2 linked regions of the Schizosaccharomyces pombe genome follow. The protein of the gene in region 1 purifies or fractionates together with the protein of each later gene. This does not show direct contact. Each region holds a gene or a part of one and is shown on either strand. Other genes may lie near its edges.

What was found.
Region 2: the proteins of mis20 (region 1) and mis19 purify together in Schizosaccharomyces pombe (affinity purification with mass spectrometry; 2 studies listed by BioGRID). This does not show direct contact.

The regions. Positions count from the first base shown.
Region 1 is NC_003423.3:3,208,021-3,211,674, forward strand, and holds mis20 (protein Mis20), read left to right. Parts: upstream 1-1,865; 5' UTR 1,866-2,001; coding exon 2,002-2,763; 3' UTR 2,764-3,143; downstream 3,144-3,654. Other genes in the region: kgd2 (dihydrolipoyllysine-residue succinyltransferase), read right to left, coding at 1-14, 75-146, 439-559; rRNA processing protein Rrp7, read left to right, coding at 3,333-3,654.
Region 2 is NC_003423.3:1,321,645-1,325,127, forward strand, and holds mis19 (protein Mis19), read left to right. Parts: upstream 1-2,086; coding exon 2,087-2,425; 3' UTR 2,426-2,730; downstream 2,731-3,483. Other genes in the region: double-strand siRNA ribonuclease Eri1, read left to right, coding at 1-189; ERMES complex subunit Mmm1, read right to left, coding at 308-398, 443-651, 815-1,456; C-5 sterol desaturase Erg32, read right to left, coding at 2,831-3,483. UniProt on the Schizosaccharomyces pombe protein: Component of the CENP-A recruiting complex that ensures the integrity of mitotic spindles through maintenance of kinetochore factors mis6/CENP-I and cnp1/CENP-A.

The sequences.
Region 1 (3,654 bases):
ATATTCTCCAGGTTCTATCAACAAAAGTCAGTATTTATAATAGCAAAAAATCTTTTTTTTATGAATCAACTTACGTTTTAACCATTGTGCGAGGGTACCTTCCGTAATAGATTCAGGAAACGGAGGCGTTTTAATGCGTGTACTGGCTAAAAATATAGTTAATGATTTTTGAAATTGAAACAACATAAGAAAAAGTAAATCCCGAAGATACTGAGTGAAAGGAAGAAAACATAGTTGAGAATTCCTATTCATGTGTGAATATGACCTTGTGAAGAATTATTTAATTATTTTGAAATCAACAGCGTCCACTTGATTCAAAATAAAGTTTAAGACAGATGCACTTAGCAAAAGTTGATTCTTATGAGCAAGTTGAGTACTAACATATATATCCCGTCTCCTTTAACAAACAATATCTACATCATGATCAACAACACATACCATAACGGGCCCAAAGGACGTTGGCCATGGATTTAGACACTGGAGCAGTGACTGAATATCCTGAACGTAGAGATAAAAGACATTTCGCCATCATGCGAAAGCCATTGCCGTAAGAAGTCATTATGATGGTTTTTCCGTAACAAGTAATTTACTTCAATCTTGAATAAAGACAGCACAAGAAAAAACAAGAAGAATGTACGAAAGCCAAATCAACTAACAGTGGCTTGCTTATTTTGTATTATTGCTAGAGGGGGTTGTTGTATGTGGTAGAAGGTAAATATGCTACACCCTTATAAACACTGTAATATATTATATGGAGTATGAGTGCACGGTAGTGCTTTGAACCTGTAGAATCCTATTCGGTGTGTGAAACCAGTATGACCTATGGTAGGCCATTTATAAAACCTTATTAGGAAATGTAGCTGGGGGTAGTAAAGAGATTTGATGAGAGTCACTGTATTTCGTTAAACATTGTTTAGAAAGGATTTGGAATAATAAAGGTTTGCTACAATACACTAAATTGTAATAGTGTGATGTAAAGACAGCAAAAATGATAAACTATTAAGGATCAATATATGAAGTTGTTTTAAAGTTGAATTCAAAAAAATATTTATCAATTTCGGTTTTCTCCTTTTTTTACATTGACATTTTGCAGATATCCAAAAGAATAAAAATAGTATTGAAAGGTGTGGGACTCGAACCCACGAGCTTTCGCACTAGTGCCTTAAACTAGCTCCATAACCACTCGGACAACCTTCCTAGTTGTACGGTTCTATCCATAGACGAATATATACAGTAAAAATAAAAAATATTTGAGCTGTTATTCATACGAATGAATTATTATTATGAATTAATACCTCATATATACATTTGATATTGAACATTGTAATTAGTTTCAAAGGCATATGACTTTTTGGGTCACTGCCGGAACAATATCAGTCGTAAGGAAATGCATTGCTTGCCCGCACACGAGCATTAATGAATGTTTCCGCTAATTTGCAAGATATTCGCTCTGAACTTACAGAATGAATAAGTATGGTTTAGAATTAGAAATCACATTGGTTTCGCAGCTTGAGAGAAATGTTTGTTTTACATTGTAAATAGTAAGCTTATTTGTCGCGCGTTTATTGGTATTGCTATTTCTATATATAGAAAAAAAAAACATTTTCCTAATACTTCATCTCATCTAGCTCTAATATATCGAAAATTCCTAGAAACCCTTTTTTTGCGATCAAAACATTCAATTAAGCTACATAAGTTGTATTCTACAAAATGTCAGCGGTTCGCTGTATCAAATAAATAGTATATATAAACTCTATACCTCTTTTGTCTTTATCATCCCTTTAATCAATTCCTAGGTTTTTCATTGAAGACATTTTTTGCAAGCACCTACAGTATATATATCGTTGATTTTATTTACCTTCTTCACTAACCAATTTTCTTGAGCCTTAACACCTAAATGAAGCAATTATTGAAAAGTTGGATTTATCCAAATCTCAAAACTTTGTTAAACTTCATTTTAACCTAAAGTCATATCTTTAAAAAGATAAATCGCATGGCAAAATGTTGGAACAAAGTGAATCGCACGCGTTCATAAATAATGCACCAAAAGAAGATCGAATCCAAGTGAAATTTGAACAATTATTTGAATCTCTTCCTTTGCCATTGCGAGCTGAAGAAGCATTGAGTAAACTAAGACATGATTCTGCAAGATTGATGATATTAAAAACTTCAGATCCTACGTTAAATATGTCGACTTATAGTATAGAGGATTCTCCGATGGGCTTTGAATGCTTAAAATATAATTTAAGTGACAATAATAAATTACTTTCACAAAATAATTACCGATTACCAGACTATTTAGAAGAGGATGAAATAGTCAGCTATACTTTTTCAAAAACCGGTCCCACTACTTCAAAAAACAAGCATCCATCACATTCTAATACAATTAGATCACCTCCTTACAAAGTGAAAAAAGAATCATGTCATACAGAAATCAACAACGTGTCTAATGTTTCTACGGAAAGTATCAACGTTATTGATGCATCGAGGGGTTACTCGCCTTACACATCAGTGGATTCTCTTTCTGTGAGTAAAAACCGTTCTTTCATATCTCTTGAAGAATCAGCAAGTAACCAATATGATGCTGCAGAAGCTTTTTATTTTAATGCAGACTCATCCTCACCGTTGAGAAAACTTAGCCCTATAGAGCTTCCTGTGACTCCAATAAGACGCAAAACCCCTACAATTAACCCAAACTCAGAACTTAAAAGACTTCAAACTTTTGGAAAACTGATTTTGCATAAGGGAAGTCGTAGAAGGTAGTGAGTCCAATCGAACAAGAAGTATACAATAACGTTTCTTTGTTATTACGAAAAATTTTGAATGACCATTTTATAATGCAAAAAGTTACCTTAAGCGTGTGCAGTAATTTATTCAAATATCAATAATCCTTTTAAATGACTATACCGAGCACTATACTTTGTATGAGTAGGCTATAAGGATCTTTTTTAAAAACGTTTATCTTGGTTAGGAACACTAAATGCAATTAGCAACCACGCATATCAATATAGCTGTATTTTTTTATTAATTTACAATCCAACACCTCTAGCTCCCAATTCAATTATTACATTGCTTTTTGGAGCTTTTATTTAGCAGCAAATAAATTACAAGTTGTATAATTACATTTTTTTTTTAATCCTAGAAAATAAGCAAATCTTAGTTTAATTTTCGCTTATTCTAACATTCTTAATGTATATTGTATATAATAATAATTATAGTCACAACGAGATGAAGTATGCGAAGGTATAAGAGTATACAGCTCCTATGGTCTTGCCCTCGGTCAAGCTCAGTAACAAATTGCATTTTACCCAAGAACCAAACAACTCATATAAATGGACAAGCTCAAAGAAAAAGGGTTTGTTAAACTAGAAATTTATTTGGAAAATAAAAAGAGGTTGCATAGTATATTTTTGAAAGAAGACACGGAAGATGTTGAAAAGAAGTCACTGTATTTGATTAATGTTCCTATCACAACTACTGAAAAGATTTTGAAAAGAGCAATTTCTCAATTGGGCGGTCGTATCGTTAATATCTATCCTAATATTAGTGGCCTTTTGAAAAGTGGCACCCATTTACGCGTCAAATTAGTCGAGCCCGCTGAAGTTAAACAAGTTATCAAGGCAGCTTCTAAAAAGACGACCTCGCTTCCTTGGA
Region 2 (3,483 bases), 1.9 Mb from region 1:
CTAGAGCATTGGGGTCTTCAGTTTGAGGGAAGCGAGCATCGCGGAATAGATGATGCGAGGAATTTATCACGAATTGTTAAAAAAATGTGTTCGGAAAACGTAGAATTCGAATGCAATAGGTGGTGGATGGAATATGAGAAGAACGGCTGGATTCCGAATCGAAGTTACCCGCCATATTTCGCAAGCTAATGCTTAAAATTTTTATTTCGACTTCATAATCAATATATTTCGTGGAATCTGGTAGAGATAAATTATCGTTAAAATTCATAGATAAAAAAAATTTCCGAAAATTACGTCAAAAGAATGTTTAATCTTCATTAGATGACTCCTCTTGAGGTGCATGGGACCTCGCATGTCCTTCTTTTGCAGAGGTTGGCCATAGGTTGGGAATTGCGATCCTGTGGGAATTAGTTAGTATGAATCAATTCATACTCTCACTTACTGTTGAAACTGAGGAGAAACACAACGATTAGTAAACCATTGTCGAATCCTTGATTCGATCAATTGTGTAATTTTAGGAATGTCTTGAAGCTTTGACCTAGCTCCCACAAGAGAACTTACTTGTAGCGAGATCACGAAATTGGGGTCAAATGACAAGTTCATATATGCAGGCTGGCCTGCACCATTGCTTGGGGAAAAATAAATCATAATCTAGGACAAATGTTAGAAAAGACCGTTATTAAAAGACGAAAAAAAATAGTCTATCGTAGAATACCACTGTGATACGATTTAACACTTGATGTTTCAAACCCCCGGGGGAGGGGTGTAAAGAATCGTAGAGACTATATACTATTAAGGTTGTAAATAGACTTACCTTTCCGACAAATTTACAAATCCTAACTGTAATGGACAATGGTAAGGTTGCAAACGCAGGCTTTGGAAAATTAAGTAAAAGCTTTGTGTCAACGGTGCAATTAATATTGTCAGTCAGAGAAACAAGCATCTCCGCTCGAAGCTGTGAGGAATTATGCTGATGAGGTAGAACCCGACAATGACTGAAAACCGGAAATCCGTCTCCAAGCGATAAATCTCGCACGTAAATATGATCAACCATAGACTTGTCTTGAGCACCTTTGTTGAGAACAGTTTCAAGTTTTCTCAGGGCAACATCGTTGGAACATGCATCATAGCGAAACTGTATGAGAGCTTGTGCTATTAGTACATTAAACCAATCCAATGATTCCGGCTCATGTTCATTAACATCGTAAAGCAGATTGAGTATATGAGGTTCAAGGATAGTAAGAGGCTTTTTGTACCTTTTTTTGTTATTACTTAAAGGAGTTGAAGGAGTCTCGTCAGGTGTTTCATTCCCCGTTTGTTTTGGAGAGTTTGCTACAGACTTTGGAATTGGACTACAAAATAAAAAGAACCGCAAAAACACATAAATAATGGCCAGTGTCAACAATTGTCCAACTATTAGTCCTTGTGTAAAACTCCCCTGCGGCAGGTGTATCATTTTTGTTCATAAATATACTAAAATACCTCGAATTCGCTAATCCCGAGAATCAAAACCGTAAACGGAAAAATTAGTCTTCGCTCTACAAGAAGAGTATAAATTAAACGTCTCAAATACAAGAGTTAACTGCTTAGTAAGTTGAGGCTTTCTGTAATATATATATATATTTTTTTTTTTTCTTTCTTGTAGGTGGTCTACGTAGCATTTGCAATTACAGAGTTCATTGAGCCTATTTGTTTGAGTCCAAAACCGAAATCAACTAATTAAACTAATGGACTTCAATTAAAAAAGATTATTAGTAAATTCATTAAATAACATGATTTGTTTGAGAAAAGCAACTAATTATATCAAATTATTGACTTTAGATATATAAATCCTTTATGATAATATATATTACATTATGAAATTATAAGAGAATATTACTTTCTTGTACTCTTCACATGTGTATGGCATGCTCATACTCAAGGGTAGGAAATACACTAGTACGCGTTTTACTCTTCCAAAAGGAGTATTAGTTAAAGTATCTTTAATAAACGACAATAATTAGTTATTCTTTCTTTCGTATATTAACGGACTACCTAATTTTCGAAAGTTTCTCCGTCTGTGATATTTTATTAAAATGTTAAGCAAATGGATTTAATGCCGTTAGAAAAAGCAAGAGCAATTGAGATTGCATTTGATAATGTGTTTCATAATACAAAAATTCCGGACAATTTGCAGCAATTTGACGCCATATTGAAACGACTGGAAAGACGGAGATTTATACCAACGGAAAATCAGAAACCAAGAGTGTACGAAACAGAGCTACTTGTACTGCGATTTCGCGAATTTGGGGTGAAAGACAACCATAATCATCCAATAAATCTTCATTCTCTTCGGTCAAAAAGCTTAATCAGGGCACAAGGTAAAAAACTTGATTTACATAATCGAGTATTTCTAAGAAGAAATGTTAGAGCAGTAAAAATGTGATTAGTACCTTTTATACGATAATTTTGATGCATTAGTAACTTACCCAATGTGAACTTTACTGAACTTTATACACAACTTACTACAGAAAAGACTCAATCACTACATGTTACGCATATTTTTAAAGCGTTAATTTTCTATCAAAAACAAAACTGTAAGCGTTCATAACTTCTTTTCAACCCAAATTCACGTTTACATGAATTAAAGTCATAATTCAGCAATATTTTCCATTTTAGCAAAAAAAATCGATATGAGTAGCTTTAACAACACGGTGAAAAAATACCAAAAATAATAATTCTATATAAATCAAATCAAAAGCGGTTTTATTTCAGCTTCTCTCTCAAAAGACAAGCTAGAACATAAAACAAAAGAGAGGGGAGTGTATCAAATAATAAATCTTAAAGTGAATTAGTTATCCTTCTTGCTGGCATAAGTGCGATCATCTTTACCCTCAACGGTGTATTGAACTGTCTCCATAAAGCGAATGCGCTGCTCTTGCAATTTCTCATTGCGAAGTTCGGCGTCAAATAATTCTTGGTCTGGTTGACGATATGAACTGCAAAGACGATCAAACAAGGTGAAAAACTGACCATAATTGTAATTAAAGTACATATGGTGAGCAGCGTGATGAGCAGCACCATTTACGACAGCGTTGTTAGAAAAGTATTTGCCGTCGTGGATGAGTACGGTCCAATAATTTACTGATCCAAAAAGCAATAAGTAAACATACTTATTTAAGGGAAAGAAAAAGGGAAACATATGATATGGAAGGGATTGACTGTATCCATCAAGATAATGAAAAGCGTGAGAAGAGTAAGGAGTTGGAACAATCCATTTGTGATGAAGCTTATGCAAAGGAGCGTAAAGCCAACGATGATGCAAAGCGCGGTGAATCCAGTAAATCAAAAAATCAGAAAATAGAAGGAAAAGCGCGATGGAAAAGAAAAGATAAAAGTAACCATATTCATCAAGCTTATCATAAACATAACCATATCCACGAATTTCAGCAAGAAACCAAGGAGCTGTCAGAATAGCCATACCGGGTAGATTTTTTAAAGCAA